3 linked regions of the Xenopus tropicalis genome follow. The protein of the gene in region 3 interacts with the protein of the main gene of each other region in a pairwise test. Links are inferred from orthologs where the notes say so. Each region holds a gene or a part of one and is shown on either strand. Other genes may lie near its edges.

Region 1 (3,657 bases), on a different chromosome or scaffold from region 3:
TCTGTGGAAAGGTGCAACACCGCTGCTGTGGTGCCCTTTGCAGTTATATGAGGGTTTGCCTTTTTGGCCCAGCATATCTCCTGCAGTCTTACTTGGTCATCTAGATCTTGCCTTGATATAACTATTTCCCTAAACTGTAATTTCTTAATTACATTACAGACAGTGGAAGTTGTATGCTGGAAAGTTTTGCAATCTTTTTATAGAAAACTTTGTAGGCATTTACTTAATTTTCATATCCTCACTGTGGTTGCTTAGAAGAATCCATGGTTGATTAGTAACAGCCCAAAGTTCGGCGTGTCAGATTTTATGAAGTTCTGCACTTGAAAACACATGACAACTTCTAATGGCTATAAAAGGTAATTAGGCCAGGGATCTTGCAAAAACAGAGTTTATTACTGGAAAAGTGTAAGGGTCTCCAAATTTTGCACATGCTTCAGTTACTATTTCTTTCTGTGTATGTTTTTTTTAACATTTGAAAATATGTTTTGGTTGTTAACTCACTGATTTCTGCAGTAGATCTGTTGTGCTTCCCTATTTGCTAATAGGTAATTTTAATATAATAAATGAATTTACCACCACTCTTTAATCTTTCATCCCATATATTCAAGGTCAACATTTCTTCTGTTAAACTATATCAGATATTTTGCTAAAATCAATACATGCGCTGCAAACAACCCCCCCCCCCCCCCCCCCACCAGCCAAAAACATAAAAAAAAGTAAGAGTATTGAACTTTAGCAGGAAATATTACCTGAGCTATCTCTTCTGGTGTTGTAACAGGTTTTGACTGATTTTTTAACTCTTTGATGACCGCATCTACTGCCATCATTACACCTAAACAAGTAATACAAAAACGGAAATGTTACTACATACATACTATATTATATATATAAAAATTATGTGGTTAGAGATCTGTTTCTAAATATCAGTGGTTAATAAACCGAAGTCTATGTATTTAAACGTATCTAGAGGTCACCTGGGATATGCAACAAAAGGCACCAAATTAGGCAATGTGCAGCAACCCTTTATAAACCAGTCAGCAGAAAAATGTACTGGTCACACGCTTTAAATTTTATAAGGGTTACTGCAAACTTTGCACCTTTTATTACATAAGGGACGGTCTCCTAAAGAGTTAGTGAGGGATAGCATCAGGGTTCAGTACTCGTGATGTGTAAGCAAACAGAGAAGGAATGAATAGAAGTATTTAATACATCTGTCCCAACAGAAACATCATTTGCAGATATTATCAGAAATGCATTTCAGTAGTTCCATTTATAGCTTTACTTTGTTCTGGAAATAAATATAAAGTTATTTAGACTGCCATTGTGCTTTATGGCCTTGGAGCTCTTTGAGAGAACCGTGAAGGACAAACCATCATTCATTCCGTCACCATTTTGCATTGAAAGGAAAAGAGCAGTGGTTGACACTGGTGATGAAACGGTTAGCTTGATCAAGTACATGAGGTTAAACTTTACAGATACAGGTCTTTCTTTAACTTCACTTTCTATGTTTCTATGTAATGTTTTGGCACACATACAATCAGTGCTGTCATTTTAGTGGTGATATTGTAAGAGTAAAATCTGGGTTTTAGTATGGTATCTAAAAAAGTTAACACTAAATGCTACAGGACTTGTCAATACCCATTTCAGTGGAAAATAATGGTGTGCCAGAAAGCAAAATTTATGTTCCGTTAACGTAACTTCTGCAATCCAAAGGGAAAAAAGGGGTTTCAAACTTACCTCTTCTAATTTCTACTGGATTTGCACCTTTGCTTATCTTTTCAAAGCCTTCTTTAGCTATAGACCTTGCAAGGACAGTTGCAGTGGTTGTTCCATCACCTGCTTCTTCATTTGTGTTGTTAGCTACATCTTGAACTAGTTTGGCACCTATGTTTTTGTATTTATCTTTCAGATCAATTGCTTTTGCAACTGTTACGCCATCTTTGGTTACTTTTGGACTTCCCCAGCTTTGTTCGATAATAACAGTTCTTCCCTAAAAAGACATTTAAAATAAAGAGAAAATAACAGTTGTATTCCATGCTCAAGAAGTTTATCTTCTGTGTTAGCAACACTACTGCATATGTGCAGTAGAGTTAACCATATGGTATTTGCATAAACATCAGGATTCTGAAGATTTGTCTCAAAGGTGGGGGGGTGAATTCCTTCCTGAATAAAGAGCAACTGGACCAATCTCTGGATCAGCTGGGTGCATTTCAGTAACTTTGTATTAAATTGCTTTCTAAATAGGCATGCAACCCTATTTTAAACTGTCTAATGTACATATGCTTAACAGCTCACTTTTAAAAACACGAAACCCCTTTTTGAATCTTACAATGGAACCTCCATTCTTTTAAAGCCCTTGCATCTCCTCAAAGGATCTACTGGCAAATATGTATATTTTTATACAGTTGCCTTGTATAGTTAGATATTGTAATCATATTCCCTATAAAAGTGAGGGACACCTTTGCACAACTCTGAATTTAAACAGCGAGTGTCAGCAAAAACATCTCAAATTATCTTTTAGAACAATCTGCTGTAAAGATAAATACCAGTGCAGCAATGAAACCCAGTCCCAAAAGTTTTTCTGTTCTGCCTGTGTGACGTGCAGACGTTGTATGCAAACACTGACACATTACTTACAATACCCTTCCAATAAGGTCATTAGTGAAGAAGTTAAATAAAAGTGGACCCAATACAGACCCCACTAAGAACCTTACTCCAGGTAGAGAATGTACCATTAAAGGACAATGAAAGGTTAATATAAATTAAAAGTAAGTCTAAAGGCATTCTTTTTAAGTACTTACTGCATATCTAAATTCCCAGATCCCGGCTTGTTTCTCTGAGATATGGTGCTGGCAGCCTACAGCAGTGTGAAGACTACAGTGACATCACTGAAATCTCTGTCCTTCCTGTAGGTGCCAGCGGCAGCCTTCCTATTCTCTGAGCATGTGTGTAACTTGATCCTGTCTGCTGTTCTGAGCTACACATGCCCACCAGCCAATCAGAAGCGGATCTGGCAGAGGGGAGGGGGGGGAGGGAGTGAAACACATTGCAGTATGAAGCAAGGAGGGAAAGGAAGGGAGAATACCTTTTTAGAGATGGCTGCCTGTTCTAGACAATGTGAATTAAGTGTGACTGAGTAAATATTTGATTAGGTGAGCCAAAAGTGTGGCGTTTTTACTAAACAATAGGAGTATTGGGCAGTATGCTTTTTAAATTTTGACTTGCATTCTCCTTTAACAACCACCCTCTGTTCCCGATCCTGTAGCCAGTTTTCTATCCATGTGCAAATGACTTCACTAAGACCAACAGACCATAGTTTAGAAAGCAGTTGTTTCTAACACTGTATCAAATGCTTCTGTCAATGCTGATTTAGGAGTCTCTTAAAAATTTCTGTTTCAGTTGTGCAGTTTAATTTTTTTATCAACATTTTGTTAAAGATTTCATATCATACATTTATCTTGTAATATACTAGCATGTAACATAAGTAAATAAGAGAACAAAAAAGGCAGCTACATACAGAGCAGCTTAACACATTACACACTAGAAAGAAAAAACTACCACAAAATTCAAGTACATATTCTTCACTGCCACTTTAAACAAGTCCTAGCTTTCAAGAGTATCTTCTAGTATAATAGTGTAATACTAGCTTATACTCAA
Region 2 (3,757 bases), about 49 Mb from region 3:
ATTCTGCACAGGAATCTGGAGCATGAACATCATCTGGAGCACTTTTAATGTTGTGTATTACAATTATTCAGTGCCGAGCAATGATTGTTTCTTCATTGCCTGATTCCGCTTGCCTGGGGAGAGTGTGATGTTGTGAGTCAGTGGGCAGGGCAATAGTGGCTGATACATCCTAAGAGTGCATCTGCCATTTTGATAACACTTAACAACAATAAATGATTGTAGCTATTACAGTGCGATAGAACATTTTCTAAAGCTTACATCAAGTGAAGGAGGCACATTGAGAGGAAATAATTTAGCAACTACGTAGGCCCATTGAGAGGAAATAATATAGCAACTAAGTAGAATTATGGATAGATGTCATGTGGAAAGAATGAAATACAGGCTTTCCTTGTCGTTTAAATTTGGCAAATATTCCCATTCTATTCAGAGATGAATACTGATATTGCAGTGACTAAGCAATAACTGCTGAGCTACAGAGAACTTTGTATGAAACGTTGATCGGATGGCAATGTTAAAATAAAGATTGCATTTTTATGAAAAGCCCATGGAGTGCGCTAACAACATTTTTTTTATTTTTTGAATATATACATGTATATATACACATATACAAAAACCATGAATATCCTGTAAATTTTATCCTTATAAACAGTTACATCAGTTGTAACCGGTGCACTTGGCTTTCAGCTGTATACATTTATCTGGTAATGAAAAATAAATCTATATATATATATACTGTATACATATATAAATATATACATATAAATACTGTATATATATATTAGCAAAATTGTTTTGTACTAAATATTCATTTGCAAAGTTTTAGATGAAAAACTTTAGTACTTTTACCCTTCAGGATATGTTGAAAAAAAATATAATTGTCCACAAGCACAAGCTGAAGAACAGGTTACAGCCACTATGATAAATAATTAAAAAAGAGGTCTCTTTCTGTTAAAGAGGGCAGGGCAAGAATGTTCCTAAGGCTTCCTGGGTGTGGATCAGATTGTGTAACCTTACCTGAAGCTGCAACATCTCTGTTTGTCACATCTACTTTGCTTAGCATTTCCAATAGGAATCGAGTGTCTTCTGCAGAAAGGTGTGAGTCAGACAAGTAGCTATTTAGCACATTTGCTTTCGTTCTCTATTCTTTCATTTAAAAGAATCTCAAGAGGGTTACACGCATCAGAGAATTAGAAGAGAAGATCTAAACTTCAAAGACCAGACAACGTAATAATGGAAGAACAAGACACTAAAAAATCCAATGGTTCATTTTCTGAAGATGCCAATGACACAAGTATTACTGATGAGAAGGACATTCAGAATGGACCTGGCTTTGATCAAGGAGGCACAAAAACAATCCTGAAAACCAACATTAGCTCTGGAGGGGTAAAGGGTGGCAGAGTGAGTTTTGGCTCTGAGAGCCCTGAAATCCGGCGCTCTGGCCGTACAAGTACTAGCTCTAACATAGAACCTGATGATGTTCTGTGTGATTCATGCATTGATGACAAGAAAAAGGCTGTTAGGTCTTGTCTGGTCTGTCAGACATCCTTCTGTGAAACCCATCTTAAGCCCCATCTGGAGGGGGCTGCTTTTCGTGACCATAAGCTATTGGAGCCCATTAGAGACTTTGAGGCCAGAAAATGTCAGCTCCACAGCAAAACAATGGAGCTGTTCTGTCAAACTGACCAAAGTTGCATATGCTACCTTTGTATGTTCCAGGAGCATAAGAATCATAACACAGTGACTGTAGAGGCTGAGAAGTACGTTAAGGAGGTGAGTATTGTTTGTACTGCATATGTACTGCATATGTGCAATCCATGTTATGGAAAAGTAGTCATGTAAAGTAAACTATTACAGGTTAGGAAGCATCTACCATGAAAACTGTTAATTACTAATACTGTAAAGAAATGGCCACCTTTTATCTTTTGTGTGTGGATGCAAGATGTTTGGGCTAAGAATTATAAGAAGAGTTTACTAGGCAATGTCCTATATAGCCCCTTGACATCAAACTGGTAAGCAGGATAGGGGTCCTAAAGTTATCAGATGACATAAGTATAAAGGTACTTGTGCTAGAGAAAAGACTGGATATAAATAATACCATTAGATATTACATTTTCTTCAGTCAAATAGATGATGGTATAACAAAATGCTACAAAATGTTGGTTTGTTTCTGAATGCAAAGCAGGTTTTTAAGGAGAAATAAGAGAAGTAGAAAAGAGACTCTCCTTATTATTTCTTTTTATATAATAATTACAAAATAAAGGTATAAGCATGTTTAAGCATGCTGGGACTTGTAGTCCAACATAAGGTCAACTAAATACATTAAAAAAAAGCTAAAACTAAGTAAATATGGATAAGCACCATGCATAGATTTATGGTTCACAAAGAAAATATTCCTTTCACTCTTTGTTGTCTTCTGCACAGAAATATTGTTACCCGCAGCTTGCTGAAAACATTCATGCTCTTTTATGCATGACCAGTGTTATTTTTAAGAAGGATAAACATGTACTAGGTATATTTATTATGTCCAAGTTCCCTTAAGTTATAATAAAGTGTCCCGTTATCAATAAATAACAATGATAATGATTACTTAGGGGATTTATATGAGGATTGAAAAACTTTGAAATTGAATACAAATAGTCCTGTGGATAGAATCTGCAGATTAGTAATTAGGTTCCTGATAATCTCCATATTTAATGCTAACTTGAATGCTAAAATAACTTGATGAAAACTGTCAGGCTACATCAAACTGAAAAAATATTTTCAGTCAGTTATTCACTGGAACTTTTATAAGGTATGGAATCTATTTTCTGGAAGTCCCTTATCCAGAAAGCTCTAAAAAAGGGGATGCCATTTGCTTATTTCGACTGATTTCTTTTTGTTCTGTATCAATAAAACTTGATGTTTCACTTGACGGGGCCTAAGATGCACTAATTTTAATGTCTACATTTTTAGGAGCTGTAAATGCTGGTGCACAAAATTATATTAGGATCCCGTATCCAGATAATGGATCCCATACCAGTATGAATGTGCGAAATATCAGAATACAAACTGCCTGTACTTAAAAATGTTTTCCCTTTAAGTGGAAGTATCAAATAACCAAACAGTTACTGAGCAAGCTGAGCAGGAAAATCCTCTTACAATTCATTTGCTGATGTTTAGTGCTCTAAAAGGGTTAAAGTGAAAGGCTGAAATTCTGGAGAAGTCTTGTCTGAACACGACAACTATGGGCGTCTTCTTAATTACAACATTTCTTGCATGCCTCTATAATGTCTTTAAATCTATGGCTGGTTTGCTGTCCCGCCTTGGGTGTGCCTAAGCATCTTTTAGACAGGGGAATTGCCTGCAGCTAATACTGCATATTGGATAGACTGACGTCACCTCAGCCACGCCTGGGCAGGTTTGGGAACAGTGTGCAACAAGCATGAAAAGGAAGTCATTGACAGTGTGTTAATGAGTCTCTTCTCAGGTCTTTTAGGTTTCTGCTAGATTTCTGGAATGTAATATCTGACAAAAATTAAAACATTTACCTTAAATGTAAACTTTTGTCCTGTCCTGGTTCGGTAGTTAAAACTTGCTTATGCTAGGACCTGTCAACAAAAACACCCTGTCTATTGATAGTAGTCATTTTAAGTATTAAACCTTTGGGTGACTATTCATCTATTCTCATATAAAACAGGCACGAGGCACTGTTGGTAGGCACTTATTAGTGCTTGGAAAGAATTTACATAAAAGAATGATTGTTAAGGCTAAATTGAAA
Region 3 (3,747 bases):
TTGCACATAACGTCCAAGATCCAAGATGGACAGGTCGGAAGTAATTATATAAGTGATGGGGGAATGTCAAGTCAGGTTGGGTTAGAGCAGTTTTAGGTTCAGTCGCCATCACTAATCCTTATATATTACAATATAGGGGACAATATTTTCTATTTAAAAATACCAAAACCTAGCAATATATATATATATATATATTTACCTTTAACATTTGTAAACATATACGCACACAACCAGGTATGGGATCTATTATCTATTGGATCTGCATTCCCTAAGCCTACTAAAAAAAAAAACAAAAACATTAATAAAACCAAATAGGAATGTTTTGCCTCCAAAAAAGATTAATTATATCTTAGGATCAAGTACAAGGTACGGTTTTATTATTACAGAGTAAAAAATAAATCATTTTTAAATAAATTTAGTCTATTTGCTATTGAGCTTTCTGGATAATGGATTTCCTGATAATGGATCCCATACCTGTATATACATACATATATATATATATATATATATATATATATATATATATACATATATATATATAAACTTGCACCACACGATTTGATAAAAAAACTTTTATTAAAAGGAATACATACACTAATTCAAGTCACACTGGATTTCCAAAACCTGTAAGAAAATCCACGAGGTTCCACATCACTTTCAATATTCTTACATTAAACAGATGGGGGTAAACTACCTCCTACATGGATAAGGAGCAGGAGCCCCAAAACCAAATGAGGCTGAATTTCTTGCTTGTGCACTTCAAGCCTCAAATTGCTTCATTTATCACTGCTCATCTTACTGTATGTGATTCTAACAAAACTTCAGAGAAGCTTTATCAAATTTCTTTGGAAAAACAAAAAAAAAACAAAAAAACCCAGAGGAATGTAATATAAGCCCAGCTTTATTCATTCCATACGACACGGAATAATGTCAGCAAAGGCTTACAAGCTTGATTTTCACTACTATTACTTCCACAGCCCTAGCACTTCATTTAGTGAACTATGTATATGGGAATCCAGTGTAATTGTATTTCCTCATATGAATTACACTTCAAAAGGATGCTGAGAGTTGTAGTTCAAAAGCAACTGGAGGGCTGCAGATTTCCCCATCACTGTGCAATCTCAGTAACATGCACATCAAAACAGCATGGAATATACCACAGACACACAATTCTAAGCCATAAAGGGCTATTGCAGTGATCAGTTATAAAGCCTCAAAAACAAGAGCCATTCCTGCTGACTAAGCTGAAACATGGGTGCTCTATTCTCTGACAGAGATGTCAAACGTATTGCTCAGTCGAGCCAAAGGATCATTCTGCATCCATCCCTGATAGCATGGCCACTGGGTGGCACAGTTACAGCACACTGACTGGATTATGCAATAAACATTTATATAATATCATGTCTTAATGCCTTGGCAGGGGAAGTAGTATGGCAACTGCAGTACTGGGTATTAGACAATATAAAACATGCAACAAACACACACCATTACAAAAATCCTATTTTATGAAGCCCAAAAATATGTTATCCCTGTAATAACATGGACTGAACAAATACCTACAACCAATCATTTTACTATTCTCTCAATAAGCAACAATCTGTAATTGTGAGCATCCTCAGTCAGCCTTTACTCTGCAAGGGATATCTAACAGTTCTCTTATCCTAATATTTTCAACAATCTGGGGGTAGCTGTATTCTTTTGCACTCCTCACTTCCTCTAGGAAGATAAAACAGGAAGTGGTAAGTGCAAACTATACAGCTTACCCTTCCTTGTCAAATGCAAAGTAGCACTAACCTAAGACAATATGGAGGCATCTAGCCCCACATCACACATATTGGGAATCAAGCAAATGCTCCTGTATACACTTTCACTGAAATTGTTTTAAAATCTGCACCAAAACTGACGGATGATATAATTTGGAAGAAATGGTCCAATGAAGTAACAGGCACCAAGCAAATTCCATATCCTCATCCCCAGCTGCCAGATTATATAAGAACCCCATTATTATTCCCACACTCCAAGGGGAAGCGAAATGATCAGACAAGCACATTTGCCTTTTCATATAGATATGTCACAACGCTTGGCCAAGGGCTGAGTGCAATGCAAGTATTTCCTTTATTTATTGCATCCAGAAAAAAAGCAAATAGCAAAGAAAAGTGAATGGTTCCACTGACAGCTGATTTTTAATTACATATAATGCAGGAAATTGTGCACCAGAAAGAGATATATTTTTTTTTTAAATAGAAAAGAAAACACTGCATTAGTTTTATTTAGCTTATTATATTTCACTATTAGGAAATAAAAGCTGCTGATTTTACAGTTCATCAAGTGAAAAAAGCTCTGCAAATCCCCCCAAACAGAAATGGTTCGTCCCACACAGGGAAGAGGAGCAGTGAAACTGCCCCACAAGCCGCTAAGTTTATACACAACTGTCAGGGGAATCCAAACTAAACATCCGGGGTCTGAGAGGAACAGGGACAAGAAGGGGAGAATGCCAGGCTTTCCCCACACTGCCCCATTCATTTAGTGCTCTCTATCCATCCCACAGATAAGGTTCCCTTACCTTCCCTGGGTCCATCCATCCCACAGATAAAGTTCCCTTACCTTCCCTGGGTCCATCCATCCCACAGATAAAGTTCCCTTACCTTCCCTGGGTCCATCCATCCTGCACAATGCGCACAAGTTCCCCAAGTGAGCAGAGGAGCAGAATGCTTTCGGCTGCGCAGTGATTAGCAGCTGCTTCTCTTTCTGCAGACACATAAACCCTCTCCCGACTGCCCTTACAAAGCCACGGCTGCCTCCCTCTCCTGCAAAACTGATTAAGTTTGAAAATGTTGCTCTCCTGCCTAACTCCTCTCTCACTCCCGCCCCCCTTGTCATGAATCTCTCCGCCTCCCAGCAGTCCCTGCGCGGCCAGCCCACTGCCTGCCCATGTCCTCTCAGTGGCCCCATAGCTGGGAATGTGCAGGGAGTGAGGTTACTGAGCTATCAGTCTGTAGCCGTATCATGATCCCAGCTCTCATTAGCCCAGCTCTCATTAGCCGTGTCATGCAGCAGGGGCAAAACAAACACAAAACTACTGTACCGAGGGACTCTGTTTTGTTGGTGACAGAAATTTTAGTGCTCAAACCTAAAAATCCCTCAGTAAAAGTATCTATATTTTTGATTTCTTTAACAAAAATACATTCAGTTGACTTTAAATGTCAACACTTTGAAAGAAATTTGGGGGCCTAACAGGGTTGGATTTACAATTAATGCCACCCTAAAGGTGCCATAAACGGGCAGATTTGGATCCTTAGGTCTAAGTTGCCTACATACAGTATCTACTGTGTATGGGGCACTCTGATGGGCCTACCCAAACAACTGGCAGATATTGATCAGAAAATGTAATATTTTGCCAAAGCAATGACCACATTGGCTAATTGATTTAGTCCTCCCTTCACGCCCCATATCCCCGCCATTTTGATCCGATTGTTTGGCCCTTAAGGGGAGTGTATTGGTGAAGGATACACAGCGCTGTACATTCTTACAATGTACAAAAGTACACACAGGGAGGACACATGCCAGGTTGTGCTCGGACAGAGTAGCTGCCACCTCTTTCTGAAGGGCATCTTGAATCTCGGCATCTTAAAACGCCAGCCCTTAGTCCACTGAGAAGTCCTCTGTTTAAACAAACCTCTCTCGTACCTTCTTATGAGGTAAAGGGCAACTTATTATACAAAGGGCTTCTCTTTTAGATTTTGCCCT

What was found.
Region 1: the proteins of lzts2 (region 3) and hspd1 interact in binary tests that used the Homo sapiens proteins (3 or more experiments, as listed by UniProt). The two-hybrid records come from large-scale screens. The link is inferred for Xenopus tropicalis from reciprocal best matches to the Homo sapiens genes LZTS2 and HSPD1.
Region 2: the proteins of lzts2 (region 3) and trim29 interact in binary tests that used the Homo sapiens proteins (3 or more experiments, as listed by UniProt). The two-hybrid records come from large-scale screens. The link is inferred for Xenopus tropicalis from reciprocal best matches to the Homo sapiens genes LZTS2 and TRIM29.

Annotation. Positions count from the first base shown.
Region 1 is NC_030685.2:46,530,107-46,533,763, forward strand, and holds part of hspd1 (60 kDa heat shock protein, mitochondrial), read right to left. Parts: intron 1,991-3,657; coding exon 1,738-1,990; intron 833-1,737; coding exon 750-832; intron 1-749. UniProt on the Homo sapiens protein: Chaperonin implicated in mitochondrial protein import and macromolecular assembly. Together with Hsp10, facilitates the correct folding of imported proteins.
Region 2 is NC_030683.2:79,151,476-79,155,232, forward strand, and holds the start of trim29 (tripartite motif-containing protein 29), read left to right. Parts: upstream 1-1,002; 5' UTR 1,003-1,230; coding exon 1,231-1,770; intron 1,771-3,757.
Region 3 is NC_030683.2:29,764,594-29,768,340, reverse strand, and holds the start of lzts2 (leucine zipper putative tumor suppressor 2 homolog), read right to left. Parts: upstream 2,804-3,747; 5' UTR 2,646-2,803; intron 2,585-2,645; exon of another isoform or gene 2,564-2,584; intron 1-2,563. UniProt on the Homo sapiens protein: Negative regulator of katanin-mediated microtubule severing and release from the centrosome. Required for central spindle formation and the completion of cytokinesis.